Linked DNA regions of Arabidopsis thaliana. The protein of the gene in region 2 interacts with the protein of the main gene of each other region in a biochemical or structural test. Each region holds a gene or a part of one and is shown on either strand. Other genes may lie near its edges.

The links. Proteins that work in one complex are often made in the same cells at the same time.
Region 1: the proteins of AT2G16250 (region 2) and SOBIR1 form a complex in vitro, tested with the Arabidopsis thaliana proteins (one large-scale study listed by BioGRID).

Annotation. Positions count from the first base shown.
Region 1 is NC_003071.7:13,552,226-13,559,535, reverse strand, and holds SOBIR1 (Leucine-rich repeat protein kinase family protein), read right to left. Parts: upstream 4,643-7,310; 5' UTR 4,617-4,642; coding exon 2,691-4,616; 3' UTR 2,559-2,690; downstream 1-2,558. Other genes in the region: RAP, read left to right, coding at 24-130, 365-1,997, 2,089-2,171, 2,368-2,436; TEJ (Poly (ADP-ribose) glycohydrolase (PARG)), read left to right, coding at 5,780-6,022, 6,120-6,305, 6,607-6,710, 7,137-7,310. UniProt on the Arabidopsis thaliana protein: Dual specificity kinase acting on both serine/threonine- and tyrosine-containing substrates. Acting as a counterplayer of BIR1, promotes the activation of plant defense and cell death.
Region 2 is NC_003071.7:7,037,421-7,046,410, forward strand, and holds AT2G16250 (Leucine-rich repeat protein kinase family protein), read right to left. Parts: upstream 5,935-8,990; 5' UTR 5,514-5,934; coding exon 3,547-5,513; intron 3,256-3,546; coding exon 3,130-3,255; coding exon of another isoform or gene 3,126-3,129; exon of another isoform or gene 3,002-3,125; coding exon 2,979-3,001; exon of another isoform or gene 2,894-2,978; coding exon 2,262-2,893; downstream 1-2,261. Other genes in the region: AT2G16230 (O-Glycosyl hydrolases family 17 protein), read right to left, coding at 4-372, 553-906; AT2G16270 (uncharacterized protein), read right to left, coding at 8,324-8,407, 8,487-8,990.

The sequences.
Region 1 (7,310 bases), 6.5 Mb from region 2:
ACTCGCTCTTACGTCAATTCCAGGGATTTTGCCTCTTTCTAATAAGAAGTATCGATTTGTTGGTCCTCTAGCACAGAGGAGTTCCTTGCATCGCCGTACGGACTCTCTCAAGCACCTTCCTTTTTCCGTGGTTAGTTCTCAGAAATTTCGTTTTTTTTTTTTCCTTTTCATTTCAGAGATACTTGAAATTTTCATATAAGTATGTGAATGAGGAGTTGTTGTGGTTGCTTTTATTGATTTAGTCTTCATTTGTATGTGACTCATGATGTGGAAGGTTTTGGTCCTTTTGGATAAGGTTGCAGAAACAAATTTATCTGTGAATTCTAAGCTTGAGTGTTCACATATTGTCTTGGTGTTGCTTCAGAATGCGTCTGTGATTGGTAACTCGGAGGAAGAAGTGGAAGAAGAGGATGATGATGGGGACTGGGAAGCAGAGTTTCTCGGGGAGATTGATCCGTTGGATATTCAACCTCCGAAGAAGAGGAAAAAGCAGAAGAATTCGAAAGCGCTTGAGGACACTGAAGGGATGGATTGGTGTGTAAGGGCAAGGAAAATTGCACTTAAATCGATTGAGGCAAGAGGGTTATCTTCTAGAATGGCGGAGGTGATGCCATTGAAGAAGAAGAAAAAGAAAAAGAGCAAGAAAGTCATTGTAAAGAAAGACAAGGTCAAAAGTAAAAGTATTCCAGAAGATGATTTTGATACCGAGGACGAAGATTTGGATTTTGAAGATGGATTTGTGGAGGATAAGATGGGGGATCTACGGAAGAGAGTTAGCTCATTAGCTGGTGGAATGTTTGAGGAAAAGAAGGAGAAGATGAAGGAGCAATTAGCTCAGAGGCTATCCCAGTTTTCAGGACCTTCTGATCGTATGAAGGAAATCAACCTGAACAAAGCTATAATAGAAGCACAGACTGCTGAAGAGGTATTGGAAGTAACTGCTGAGACAATCATGGCTGTTGCCAAAGGTTTAAGTCCATCACCTTTGTCTCCTTTAAATATTGCTACTGCACTTCACCGAATTGCCAAGAATATGGAGAAAGTTTCAATGATGAGAACTCGTAGGCTTGCATTTGCTCGGCAAAGAGAGATGTCAATGCTTGTTGCTCTTGCAATGACATGTCTACCAGAATGTTCAGCTCAAGGCATCTCAAATATTTCTTGGGCATTATCCAAAATTGGAGGTGAATTGCTATATTTGACAGAGATGGATAGGGTTGCAGAAGTTGCCACATCAAAGGTGGGTGAGTTCAATTCTCAGAATGTTGCTAATATTGCTGGGGCGTTTGCTTCCATGCGGCATTCTGCTCCAGAACTCTTTGCTGAGTTGTCAAAGAGGGCATCTACTATTATCAATACCTTTAAGGGTCAAGAGATTGCTCAACTATTGTGGTCATTTGCCTCACTTTATGAGCCAGCTGATCCTTTGCTTGAATCTTTGGATAGTGCATTCAAAAGCAGTGACCAGTTCAAGTGTTACTTGACGAAAGAAATAACAAACTCTGATGAAGTAGTGGATGCTGAAGTAAGCGATGATGTTTCAAGATCTCCAGCACTTAGCTTTAACAGGGACCAGCTTGGAAACATAGCATGGTCTTATGCTGTTCTTGGGCAAGTGGAGCGACCTTTCTTTGCCAATATATGGAATACTTTAACCACCTTGGAGGAGCAAAGGCTTTCAGAACAGTATAGGGAAGATGTCATGTTTGCTTCTCAGGTGTATCTTGTGAATCAGTGCTTGAAGCTTGAGTGCCCCCACCTTCAGTTGTCACTTTGTCAAGAACTCGAAGAAAAAATAAGCCGCGCAGGAAAAACCAAAAGATTCAATCAGAAAATAACCTCATCGTTTCAGAAAGAAGTTGGACGCCTTCTTATAAGTACAGGGCTTGATTGGGCTAAAGAACATGATGTGGATGGCTACACCGTGGATGTTGCTCTGGTCGAGAAGAAAGTTGCTTTAGAAATCGACGGGCCAACTCATTTTTCAAGAAACTCTGGTAAGTGACATCACTCTGTTTCTTAATATATATTGGTGTCTGGTGGAGCCAACCCAAACTTAATGATCATTTCGACTCTTGTGTTCTACAGGACTACCATTAGGGCATACAATGCTGAAGCGGCGATATGTTGCTGCTGCTGGATGGAAAGTGGTATCTCTGTCTCTTCAAGAGGTGGGTCTATAACGTTGAAAAATGGAAACTGATATAAAATTGAGTTGCTAGGATAAGAAATTGTCTCCATTTTTAGAATACTTGTTCTGTTCAATAGTAAAAAGATCTCACATGCTCTTGCATAATTGATATGTTTTCCCATCTCAATCAGGAGTACATACTGAACATGTGTTGACTTTGTTTTTATTATTTTTAGTGGGAAGAACATGAAGGCAGTCATGAACAGCTAGAATATTTGAGGGAGATTCTCACCGGCTGCATATAGAGAAGACAAGTAACCAAACATGTAATGTGTTGTCATTTTAAGGTTGTTAATCAAGTGTTCTTTTCCGTTATGTATATAGCTAAGATTCTTATAGTAGATTGATGATTTATGTTTAGAGCAATAATCATAATTGAAATCCATTTAAATTTTACAGTCGCCATTACAAATTTCTGCCAAGATTGTGTTCATAGTTATTTCGTATGCAACAGGAATCTAGGAAATATAGATAGAAGCAAACAATACATATTGAAACACTAGTGCTTGATCTGGGACAACATGGTCCTGACATCTTTACTGTTCGGCCTCTGTTTTGGATCATCCAAAGTACAGTAACAGGCGATCTTCAGAACCAGAAGCATCTGTTCATCGAATCCTTGATCCATCAACTTCGGATCAATCGCAAGGCTAGGATTTTCCGATGTTATTATGTTCCTCATCCACTTTATCAGACTCATCTCGTCAGTATGCTGAAAAAACTCATCTGAAGGAAGCTTCCCAATCACCAGAATCCCAAGAATCACTCCAAAACTATAGATATCACATTTATCTGTGAACTTGTGGGTTTGATAAAACTCTGGTGCTATGTATCCCACAGTACCTGCAACATGCGAGGTTGTAATATGTGTGACTGCATCTGGCATTGCCTTTGCCAGTCCGAAATCTGAAATTCTGGCTTCCATGTCATCATCAAGAAGAACATTGGCTGGCTTTAAGTCTCTGTGAATGATTCGTGGGTTATGATCCATGTGAAGGTACTCAAGCCCTGCAGCTATACCTAAAGCAATCTTGTGCCTCGCTGGCCACATTAGTTCTTGATTTCCAGCTTGTACGTCAGTCAATATATCTTGCAAACTCCCCTTTTCCATGTACTCGTAAACGAGGTAGTGGCACTCGGGTCTTGACACGTGTGCTAACAATGGGAGAAGATTCCGGTGCCGGATATGGCCGACTGTGTTGATCTCGGATCTAATTTGCCTCATTTTCTTGTTCAGAAACTTGGAATCTTCATCTGTTAGTTCATCGGCGTCTTTAGGCGGTTGGATCACTTTCTTCACAGCTATGATCTTCCCATTGCTTCCTGGTAGTTCAGCTTTGAAAACTTCTCCACAACCTCCTCTTCCTATGATCTCCAGAGAAGCTAACGCTTCTTCATTCTCCAAGAAAGCTAAATCTTCAGCTTTCTTGATCAATGGGCTGAATATGGAAGGACCTGGTGGTTTTTCTGATCCTCTTATTGCTTGAATAATCAATTTGAACAACACCGAGAAGACAAACCCAGAGATTGTTCCTCCTATGGCTCCAACGACAAACCCTAAGATCCATGCCGCTACTTTCTTCTTCTTGCTCTTCTTCTTCTTCTTCTTCAACTTCCCTGGTTTTGGAGCTCCCTTTGGAGCTTTTGATGTAGTGCTGTTGTTGGGTTTGTTCGTGGGACTTGAAGTTGGAGTTTCAGCAAGAATGTGTCTTGTTTGATGTGGAGATGTCTGAAGCTTGATACTGCTCATAACCGGAGCCGGACCTTCCAAATACCGGTTTCCGGAGAAATCAAAGAACCGGAGATTGTGGAACGACACAATTTGTTCCGGGATTTTGCCTGAGAAGAGATTGTTTGCAACAGAGAGATTCTCCAGATTGCGTAGATTCTTCAAGAAATTCAAGTTCCCGGATAACTTGTTCGAAGAGAGATCAAGGATTCGAAGACGGCTCAAACTAGAAAAGTTTCCCGGAATCTGACCGGAAAATCTATTTTTCCGAAGATCAAGAACTTCAAGTTGCTTACAGCTTAAGATATCCACCGGAACAGCGTTGACCAACTGGTTATTAGACAAAGTAAGTTCCTTGAGCTCCGACAACATTCCGATGACCGGAGAGATAGTCCCCGTCAAGCTCCTGGATCGGTAGACGAGCCTCGTGACACGGAGAACGTATTCTCCGGTGGTGGCAGAGTGCCGTCTCTCGCAGAAAACTCCTCGGCGACCGCAAGGGTTGACATCACTGGCCGAAGAACGTTGACTGTTGACTCCGAGCTCTGTTTCGATGACCTGAAGAGCTTTGAGATCTGAGGAATCGATATCGAGCCACTCAACAGAGGAGACGAATGAAGAGAGAAGAAGAAAGGAGAGAACGGCGAGGATGAGAGGCCGGAGAAAGAGATTGGCGCTTCCCGTGGGAACAGCCATTTTAATTAGAGAAAGTTTCTTCTTGTGGATGTTGTCGGAGTCTACACTCTGTCTATTTATGGTCAGCAACTGGTACTAATCTATTGAGAAATCTTTACGTGTTTCGTGGTTTTTTTTTTCTTCTAAAACTTTATTTTTGAAGTGACAAAATATATTTGACCCAAAAAAAATAAAGTTACAAAATATATTCACAAGTTAATTTCTTAATATTGTTATACACTTATACATATAATTGGTAAACTTAAATTAACAGTTTGAAAAATTTATGGTTTGTTCAAGGGATCCATCCAAGCCCCGGTTTCATATCGAAAAAATGGGGTTTTCTATTGCTAGTATTTTATTTGATTAGTTTGATATTAATGATAGATTACTGAATTCTTACATAAGATCTCCTAACAAAATTGTATTTTATATTATGATATTTAGTTATCAATGGTTTTGGAGAAACATTGATTCAGCGTATACTTTTTGAATTATTTGTATATTCTTAATAAGAGTTCTGTTTTTAATTAAAGTCTAAAGAAGAAAAAACCATTATAAAAACTGATAATCCTGACCTGTGAAATGGGCTAAATTGTACATTTTTTTTTTGATTTAAATTCTTCCAGGAAGTTTTATGGGAAAATAATAAAGTAGAAAATGTGAATATAGAAAGTTGCAAAACTGTATTATTGATATAGCGAATTTTGTTATTGACTTGACTATGTAAGCGTTGATAAGTCAAAGTCTACGCTGTGGGTTCCATAGTGAGCCACCGTTTCCTACACGTTAGAAAAAAATAAATGTTATGTTACACACACCTTCTATTTTCCAGTCACTTTCTTTTAGCGTTTTCCGTCAATACGTTCGTTGTCTGTATCAAGATTCCAAACTGGTGAGTGTGAAATAACTCGAAACTGGCTTTTAACTTAAAATGAGTTAACCAGATAGCTAACGAGGATGTTATTGCCACTAAACCAATACATTACCGATATGGTTCAAGTTCCAACTTCCCGGTTCTACAAAACCGGTTTGCCTTTCGCCTTCGCACTCTTGACTTTTTTAGATTTTTTACTCCGGGACTTGAGTATCTTCTAGCGGCAGCAGAATCTTGTCGCAGAAGCGATTCGTAAACCTGTTTCAAAAGCAATTGAGAACAGCTGTGAGATTAGAAAAATCGAAAAATGGAGAATCGCGAAGATCTTAACTCAATTCTTCCGTACCTTCCACTTGTAATTCGTTCGTCGTCGCTGTATTGGCCGCCGCGTGTGGTGGAGGCGTTAAAGGCAATGTCTGAAGGACCATCTCACAGCCAAGTTGACTCAGGAGAGGTTCTACGGCAAGCTATTTTCGATATGAGACGATCCTTATCTTTCTCTACTCTCGAGCCATCTGCTTCTAATGGCTACGCATTTCTCTTTGACGAAGTAATTATCTCTTTTTAACTTTATGGTGATTGCTTTTGGATTTGAGTGTATCTTCAAATCGAATTGAGTAGTGGAACTAAGTTTTTGGTACTCGCAGTTGATTGATGAGAAAGAATCAAAGAGATGGTTCGATGAGATTATCCCAGCATTGGCGAGCTTACTTCTACAGTTTCCATCTCTGTTAGAAGTGCATTTCCAAAATGCTGATAATATTGTTAGTGGAATCAAAACCGGTCTTCGTTTGTTAAATTCCCAACAAGCTGGCATTGTTTTCCTCAGCCAGGTATTGATACAAAGTGCTATCTCCTACATTTGAGCTAAAGGTGTTTTTTTGGTTCTATTCCTGACTCTTGAGTAGTGATTTATGGGGAGGAAATTACGTCGAATATACATGTGTTCTTACTGGATGATTACCTTGTGTGTTGAAGATATAGTCTCTATGGATTCTTGCTTTTCTTACTGGATAATGACCTTGTGTTGAATATACATGTGTTCATACTGGATAATGACCTTGTGTTGTTGAAGATATAGTCTCTATGGATTCTTGCTTTTCTTACCTGTCCGTTCGAACTTCAATATTGCAGGAGTTGATTGGAGCTCTTCTTGCATGCTCTTTCTTTTGTTTGTTTCCGGATGATAATAGAGGTGCAAAACACCTTCCAGTCATCAACTTTGATCATTTGTTTGCGTATGTTACCTCTCTGCTTTCTCTTCTAAACCTTTCATAGTGATTAAGCCTACATTAGTCTGGTCTGGAAGAAATGCCTAATGTTAAAATGTCAGTCATTTGGCTTAAGTCATGAATGATCAAGCACGTATGTGAAAGAAAGGGAACCTTTAATATGTAATTTATTGACATTCACACTCGAGAGTGAGAAAGCAAATCCGCTAGAGAGCGCATATGGGCCTCAGTCTCCATTGGGAGTTCACTAGTTAGACTTGGATTAGCTTGTTGTGAGAAAAACCACATATTTCTATGATTCATTGGCTATCATGTGCATGTGAAGATTTTAATTCTGAAAATTCTTGTCTACCGTGCATTGAGTAAGTTTCATTTGGATTCTTGGACTTCGTATGCCCACAGTCTGATATCCGAGTTTTACTTGCTTTTCAGAAGCCTTTATATAAGTTATAGTCAAAGTCAAGAAAGCAAGATAAGATGTATTATGCATTACTTTGAAAGGTTTTGCTCCTGCGTGCCTATTGGTATTGTTTCATTTGAACGCAAGATTACCGCTGCTCCTGATGCTGATTTCTGGAGCAAGTCTGACGTTTCTCTTTGTGCATT
Region 2 (8,990 bases):
TACCTGAGCATCAAACATGTTCATGTACTTGATTCCAGTGTTTGAGTCTACCCGTCCAGGGTTAGGCTGGAAAAGACAAAACGCCAGCGTTTCGGGTCTCGGGTCGCTCTGATATGCAAAGAACGGGTACGGGTTGATGGCAAAAGGCGACCCGGTATCGCTAAGAAACTGTAGAATGCCCTTTAAACCGGCCTGATAACTAGGAGCAAACGAACCAGCTGATGGCGGTTCGGAGTTGCCTAGTACTGTCATTGCATGGACAGTAGACACCTTGATTTTTCCACCTAGTGAAACCGCCTCGAGAGCCTTTTGAACATTTTGCATAGCCGGGAGAAGTTGGTTTACAAGATTCAGATCATTTGACAACAACACCTACATATCAACGATGAGAGGTTTAGAGATTTATTTTGTCAAGCAAGCATACATTTAATTTAAATAACATTTTCCGCGATTAGTTGCCTAATCTGGAGGAAAAGAGTTTACAAAAATAATATCAAGAAAATTAATTTTAGAAAAACTTGTGTGAATAATTTGATAAAGAAAAAGATTCACCTCGTTGCCGACATTGATGAGAATGATGTTGGAGGCAGGATAGAAAGGAAGTACGTTGGAATTTATCCACTGAGAGGCAATGTTGAGATCCGAGGCGATAGACGGGAGATCGCCATTTGCTACTCCGATAACAATACCAATACCGGTTCCAACCAAGGATGTGATGATGGAGGAATCCGCATTGTATAGCCTCACTTTCTGGATGGAGGTAGATTGGAGGAGTTTGGCCGTTTGAGAAGGTGGCGGGAGGTTGTCGGATAGTAAGCCGTAGTTTACTCCGATAAACGACTGTGCATTTGACGGCGAAATAGAGAAGAGAATGAAGAGGAGAAGGAAGAGGATGGAGAGAGCCATGAAGACAGAGGAATGTGGAGGAAGTGAGATTTGAAATGTAAAAGAGTAATAAGTTAGTGTAAGGGTTGGGAGTAATATAGTATAATTAATTGGTTAGTGAACAGAAGTTTATGCAGAATCCCAAAGCTCATAATCACATGTGCTGATTTTACTACAACCCACTTGCTGACTTCTTTGCATGGGTTTCCCCATTGTTTACAGTATTAATCATATTTTTGGAGATTTCTTTCAAATTTTGTTTGGTATGGAATAATCTGTCAAATAGCCAATTAACAACCAACTTATTAAATCAATGAGAATTGGCAAAAATAACCCAAGAAAATAATATTCCGCTGTCCAATTTCTTATAAGATGTTTTAGTTAAATCACATATATTAAGAAACTTATGTTCTTTACAAAATATTATTTATTTATTTAAAACAATTCAACCAATCGTGGCAAATATTGCATATAACAGAAATGATTAGAAAATATGAAAATTTATTTTAAGTTTTAATATAATGGACAAAAATAAAATACATAAGAACATCTTATATATTGGGATATAGTTTAGCTATTTAATCATTCTAAGTTTCTAACCATGATAGATTTGGCAAAAGTAACTCATTAGAATTTCAATTTTTGTTTGTAATGTTGTAATTTTCAAATTAAGTTCAGTGTATGAAATAATTAAATATAATTACAGGTAACTCAGACCAAAAATCCTACAACTTCAACATTTTGGTTCATACGTATATATATTATAAGTTTACGTCTCTAAACATAATGGTTCTATGGTCTAGCGGTTAGGACATTGGACTCTGAATCCAGTAACCCGAGTTCAATTCTCGGTAGAACCTTTATTTTTACTTTTTGTCCCAATATGAATCAAAAGCTTCCCACGTGCGAATGAACTAGTCAACAATATTCACACGTACGAAATCAGATCCAACAAAAGGAAGAAGTATCTTTCCTTTCACTTTTTGTCCAAATACATATCAAAAGCTTGCCACGTGCAAATGAAATAGTCAACAAAATTCACACGTACGAAATCAGATACAAGAATAATAAGTAATGGTGGAACTGAAACAAATGTAACCCAACTTTTTTGTTTTGTTTTGTTTTCTGGTCTTTCAATAAGAAAGAAACCGAAAACAAAACCCAATCTCCAAGAATTTTACAATTTACAAAATCCACGTTTGAACCAAAAAACAAAAACAAAGAGTGAACTAACATTTCTAACTCCCACCAATCCTAAACCCAAAAACAAAACAAAAGAAAGAAAAAACAAATCCTCCTCCCATCTAACATTATGCTACCTTTGAGGACTCTCTTTGCCTCTGTTATTATCGACACAAAAGAATCGATGAAACGAATCATAAATTATCCTCTACTACTCCATAAGCAGCAGGTTCCGGTACAATCTCACTAGATTGCCGTCTTCTCGACGACGATGAATTCCCGTTGTTGTTATTGTTCCTTCCGCTACTTCCTTGCGACCCCGAGTTTCTCAAACCATTACCACCACCACCACCACCACCACCGCTTGTTGTTGCTCCCGCTTGAACAGCTGTTACATCCGACGCACTCTGCCTCCAGCTCCCAAATATAGCAGCGTTCCAAGACCCTCTCGACGAGTTTGTTCTTAACCGGGAAGAGCCTGAACCCGAGTTGGTATCTTCTCTTACTACTTTCAGTGGGTTCTCAAGTGCGTTCACAATGTGTCTCATTAATGGTCTTCTTGTTGGTTTTGGGTTTAGGCATGACTTTGCAATGATAGCCATTGCCCATACTTCTTCTAGAAGGTCTTCGTCCACCATTAATGACGGGTCTAAGATCTTGGTTACTAGTTCTTTCTCGTTTGTGCTGATGTATGGCAAAGCTTCTTCCATGTACTCTTTTGCAAGTGCGTTGTCTGGCGAGCTAATCCCGAGCTTCCCCGTTACTAGCTCAAGTAACACTTTGCCAAAGCAGTAGACATCATACGAACATATTGCATTTGTTACACCTGAAAAGAATAAACCAATCAGATGTCTATCGGTTAATCGGAGATGGTATATCCTGATGAAATTTTTATTCTCCTAAGTGTATACCTGAAGAAGATGGTTCACTCGATCTGCAAGAATAGGAAAAGAAGAGACAGCGAAGCATTAGTAGGTGCCAAGACAACATACAGAGTCATGTTAGGGAATCAAAGTAAAACAGAAAAGGACCAGAGAGTTTGTTAATGTAATAAGCACTTACTGCGGTAATCGAAGTAAACGAGAAATTCTGCTTTGATAAGCATCACCTTGAGCATATGCCTCGCTTAGGCTTCCAAGACGTACCTCAAATTTATCATCAAGAAGTATGCTACTTGCTTGTACATCCCTATTTAACATTGAACACAAACACACACATGAGTTCTCTCGCTTTTCTTCTTATCAGGCAATAGAGCATAGATCAACAAGAAGTAATTTAGGAGCAGGTGATGTCATTGGGCTTCTCCATCTATGAAACTATACACTAACAATTCTTGAATAGATCTTACTAATTATGAACATGAAAGGTTATATGATACTAAAAACAGAATCAACAAAACAACTTCCAATAGTCTTGCTATGTCAATGCTTTAAAAAATATCAAGATTATATTACGAGAAGCTGAGCAGGAGAGTAGTACCTATGAACTAGAGGCGGTGAACACTCATGATGCAAATAAGAGAGTCCCTCAGCTGCACCAAGAGCAATTTTCAACCTTGTTATCCAATCCAAAGACTTCAATCCATCACCTTCGTTTTCGGATTTCCTGAACAAAGAGCTAGCCAAATCACCGTGTCTCATAAACTTGTATACCAAGAACTTTTGGCTCTCATTCTCCAAGCAGTGTCCCAAAAAGGGAACCAGCCTCTGGTGTCCAGCCTTACTAAACAACTCCAGTTCTGATATATAGCCTTCACTTTTACCTTCCCGCACATCGATCTTTTTTATAACAACGGGTATACCATTTTCCAAGAAACCACGAAACAGATTCCCCGAATGACCACGTTTTATCAGATTAGCATCATTGAATTCCTCTGTTGCCTGAAGAAGCTGCTCATAAGAAAATGCATTTCCAAGACGTGACAAATCAAAGGTTTGTGCTCCTTTAGGTGGTTGTTGTGAAGCTTCCCCGGCAGGTTTTGGCCTGTCGTTATTTCCTCTTTGTGCCGCTCTGCGTCTATGGCGCATGCATAGAACCAGAATAATTGGCAAGATAACAAAAAGAAGAATAAAAGCAACTCCACCACCCACTGCTGCCAATATAATTACTGTTCTGCGGCTTATCCCTGAAGAAGCATTTTTCGATGTCGGTTGTGTCAAATTAGGACGTCCGAAATCATCAAAATCTAATCCTCTAGACTTATAGAATGCTGCACATATTGCTGACGGCTTCTGTCTCCTCTCATTTCGAAGGCAATTGCTTGTAACAGACACATTTTCCCCGGTCACATAATCAGGAAGCTTACCTTCGAAATAATTACCAGAGAGGTCCATTATCCTGAACCGTCTAAGAATCGGTGTGAGCTCTCCATAGAATGTGTTCGAAGAGATATCAACCATTTCAGCTATCTGGTCTGAATCATAACTAGAATATGGCAGCAGTCCTGTGAAGTTGTTCTTAGCAATGTCAAGAATCCGCAATTTTGGCAACGACCAGCACACATCAGGTAGACTACCAGAGAAACCATTTTCCCTCAAAACTAAAGTTTGCAGTTGGCTCTCAGCACTAAACAAATCTACTGGTAAAGTACCACTCAAAAGGTTATCGCCAATCGCCATTAGCTGCAACTTACTTAACTTTCTTAGCTCCTGAGGAACTGAACCAGACAATGAATTGATGCTGAGATCAAAGTCAACCAGATTGACAAGATCACCAAGCTCTGAAGGAATCGGAGACGAGAAACTATTGCTTGAAAAGTTCAGATGGATAAGCTTTGATAACGCTCCTAAACCAGGAGGGATAGGTCCAGTAAGGTAATTGGAAGAAACATCAAGAGTCAACAGATTCTTCAGAGAGCTAAAAGATTGAGGAAGAACACCAGTGAATGAGTTCCTAGAGAGATCAAGCTGTGATAGATTCAACAACTGTCCTAAACTGCTAGGAACTAAACTAGTAAGACTGTTCTGAGACAGATTCAAAGTTCTTAAACTAGTGAGATTACCAAGAGTAAAAGGAACAACACCGTTAACAGAACACGAACTAAGATCCAATACTTCCAATGCCAACAAACTAACACCAAACCACTCAGGTATAGTCCCCGGTAACGCTAACCCGGACGCGTTAAAATACGACAAACGAGTTAGATTACGAAGAGGATCAACAGAGAATTGTGGGTTTAGCTTACCAATTCTTGTTCTCCTAAACCCAGAGATATTGATCCCAATGATACTACCATTCTCACATTGTATACCTCTCCAATCAACACAAGGGTCACCTTTAATTGGCCAATCTGTTCCTCTTAACCCTAAAGAAGACCTGAGATTAAGCAAAATGAGTTTCTCACTGAATCGACTCTGTGTTTGACCAACAACAACACAGTCGAAGAACAGTACCAAACACAACAACAACAAGACAAAACCCAATGCGCTTCTTCTTTGATCAACCATTGCTTATCAAACTCAATCCAATGACCCATCAACACTCATCACCCAAACCCAGAGAGAGACAGAGACTATTTTTTTCAGGATTTAAGCAAAATACCCAATTCAACAACCCTAATAAAAATAACGTCTTTCGATCTTTAGAGAGGAAGAAAGAGACAGATATCGAACTGGGTTTGCTCTGTTACTGGATCCAATTACAGCTCCTACCTTCACAGACATTAAAGCACCTCTCTTTCTCTTTCTCTCTCTCTCTCTAAATCCTAATTTATGAGAAGAAAAAGTAGAAATTTTTCACTAATCCTTAAAATCAGACAAAACAAAAAGTGATTTGTTGAGTGAAAAAAATCTTTAGAGAGAGAAAGAAAGAAGAAGAAGAAGAAGATCGAGATTGTTGAGATAACAACTGTAGACTGTGACACTCCTCTCTCTCTCGTCTTTGCAAGAAACTTCGAAATTAATTTATTATTAATTACAAATCTGATTAATTAATAATTTTGAAATTAGATTAAATTAAAACCTAGTGTGGGGTAAAGTGACGTCGTTTTAATGTTTGGTTTGACTTTCCCGGTAATCCCGCCATAAGCCAGCTAAGCTGTTGCCGCAATTACTATTTGGGATTTTTTCTTTCCTTCTTTCCTGTTTTATTATTGTTGTAAATTTAATGTTCGGATATATAAGGAGTAATATATCTCACGTCCTATATTCACCATTCTTGGCCGAATAAAGGAATCTTTTTCTTTTCTTGCTAAAATTTTCTAAATACTCTGAATTTTTTGGTTCGAATGGTAACGGCAATCAGAATAGATAAATTCATCGATAATATAAGTGTGTTTTATTTTCAAGTAGATAATAAATCGTTGTGGATCAATCTTATTTGTATGTAAAAATGGTTTATGATTGGTTTACGGCAGTTTTCTTAGTATATATTATTATAGATTCTAATTTATGATTGGTAAATTAAAAGCGGTTTAATCTGCATAGTATTTGTCCGTCTCAACCGCTGTAATCATTTGCATTTTAAACAATTTATTACAACATATAATCATATACAGTACAATAGAAAATTATCAACTAGAAAAACATGTGAAATGTTGGCAACTTTCTTTCAAAATATTGGATGAAATATTTATCGGTTATAGGATTTTGTAAAGATGTTGAAGTATTCTTTTTAAAAAACAATGATATTGAATTTTCTAGCTTTTTTGATATGATCCAAAAATTTGATATATGTTTAGTTTAAAATTGATAGAAACAAATTCTCTATTGTAGAATGTTCAATTTAAACAATGCCAATCGAATGAAAATATTTAGTTTTTTTATTTAATTTTACTTGAAAAATGAATGATTATGTTAGTTCAAAGTCTCACTATGGTTTATTTAGAAAATAGTGATTAAGTAGACATTAATAGAGATGAATTTTTCTTGAGCTAAAAATTTCTCAAAAGTTTTCTCAAAATATATGAACAAGTGATGTGAAATTTTCTTAAACTGTTTATTAATTTTCATATGCTACAGTTGCGTATATGATTTTATTAATCGTTCCAATTACTGTTATTTCCATAGAAAAGTTTTCTCTAACCTCGAGCTAGTTAAGTCATAATTGAGGATATTTGTTCGGGAAGAAAAAGCAATGAACTATTCATCTTTCGTCGGATAACAAATTTACATCACTACCTAATTTTTGTTACATATCCCGCATCGCTATTAAATAAATCCAACGTGTCCGAAAGTACAAATGTTGTTTGTATCTGTGTTTTCCAGTTCAAGATCATATAACTAACACATGTCCTCTTCGTGAGACCCCACACATACAAAATAAGCCGTCAAATCTAAACCATCGGATCAGAGCAAGATTATTTCGATTCTGGTGACGTGGCACAAATCATGCGTCCAAGAGAGTGTTTTGGTCACAGTTCTAATCATATTTCTGAATGCATGTTAAGCACCGAATCAACGTAACCATGGTTTCGCGCTTCTATATAGAACCGTCGTCGTCATCATCTTCCTCAAATCTTTGGACGTGGCTTATGCAGACAACGAGTATCGATGCTTCGTCGGAGGTTTAGCTTGGGCCACCGATGAACAGTCTATAGAGAGGTGTTTCAACGAGTTTGGTGAAGTTTTCGACTCCAAGGTCCGTTAAAGTGTGACTCTGTTTTTGTGTTGCTCTGTTTCTCTCTTTGTATCATAAAAATCTCGACTTTATATGGTTTATGGATTGGATCAGATCATCATTGATCGTGAGACCGGGAGGTCTAAGGGGTTTAGATTTGTGACTTTTAAAGATGAGGATTCCATGAGGACTGCGATCGATAGAATGAATGGTCAAGAACTTGATGGTCGTAACATTACTGTTAACTAGGCTCAGGCTCGTGGTAGTGGTACTCGCGGTGGTATGGTTGGTGGTTACGGAAGTGGTGGTTACAGAGGTAGACGTGATCAAGGTGGTTACAACCGTGGCGGTGGAGGTGGATACGGTGGTGGTTATGGAGGTGATCGTCGTGAAGGTGGTTATGGAGACGGAGGTTACGGTGGTCAGGGGCGATCTGAAGGAGGAAGCTGGAGAAATTGAGTCTTGTGATGTTTAGTCTCATGCTTTGTTACCAAAAAAAAAAAAAAAGTCTCATGCTTTTGTTTCTTCTTTTACTTTAAACGACTGAGACTGACACAAAGAAACAAACTTTGGATTGAATCACAACTAGTTTGGTACAAATCAGAAGATTTTAAGGAGTCATAAAGCTAATTCTAATTCTTAGGAAACTAAAAAGATTGCATAGTGATGCAATGATTGAAATGAAATGTCTATCTCTTTATCATAGACCAGAACCAGAAGGTTTGTTGTTCTTAATCCGGCTTGAACGTCTCACTGGTGTAATCATCTCCTCTTCTTCTCTACCCTGTGAATATATAAAATGGGTTAGTACTAAAACGATGCAAAACGTGTACTTTACGTGATCATTGATTGATGGTACTCACACTTTTGATGGGTATCTTCTCGTATGTTGTGAAACTTCCGTAAGAAAAAGAGCCAATGGAGTATTCTGATGCTGAAGATGCCATTGATTCTCTCCTCAACTTGCTGCTACTGCTATTGTTGTTATTCTTCTTGCCTCCTTTGCTTTGAGGTTCTTTGTGGCATGAGCTCTTCTTTTGGAAACTGTTACTCATTTTGTCATCAACTTCTTCCTCAAAATTCAGTGAAAAGAGCTTCTCTTTCACCAGATTCTCTTCTGGCACATGACTCAAGTTTAGCTCCATGTTACTCTCAGGGGCTGGTTTAGTAGCAGCCACGAGTTTTGTCTTCTTAGCGAATACGAAAGAAGCCACTGCGAGTAGAACCAGCACCGTGGAGGACAATACTATCATCAACTTGGTGGAATCATTATACGCCTTATTAGAAGACCTTACTTTAAGATGAAGATCATCACTAGTTTCTGCTGCAATTTCTCCAAAACCTTCTTCTGATCCACTTTCAGCATC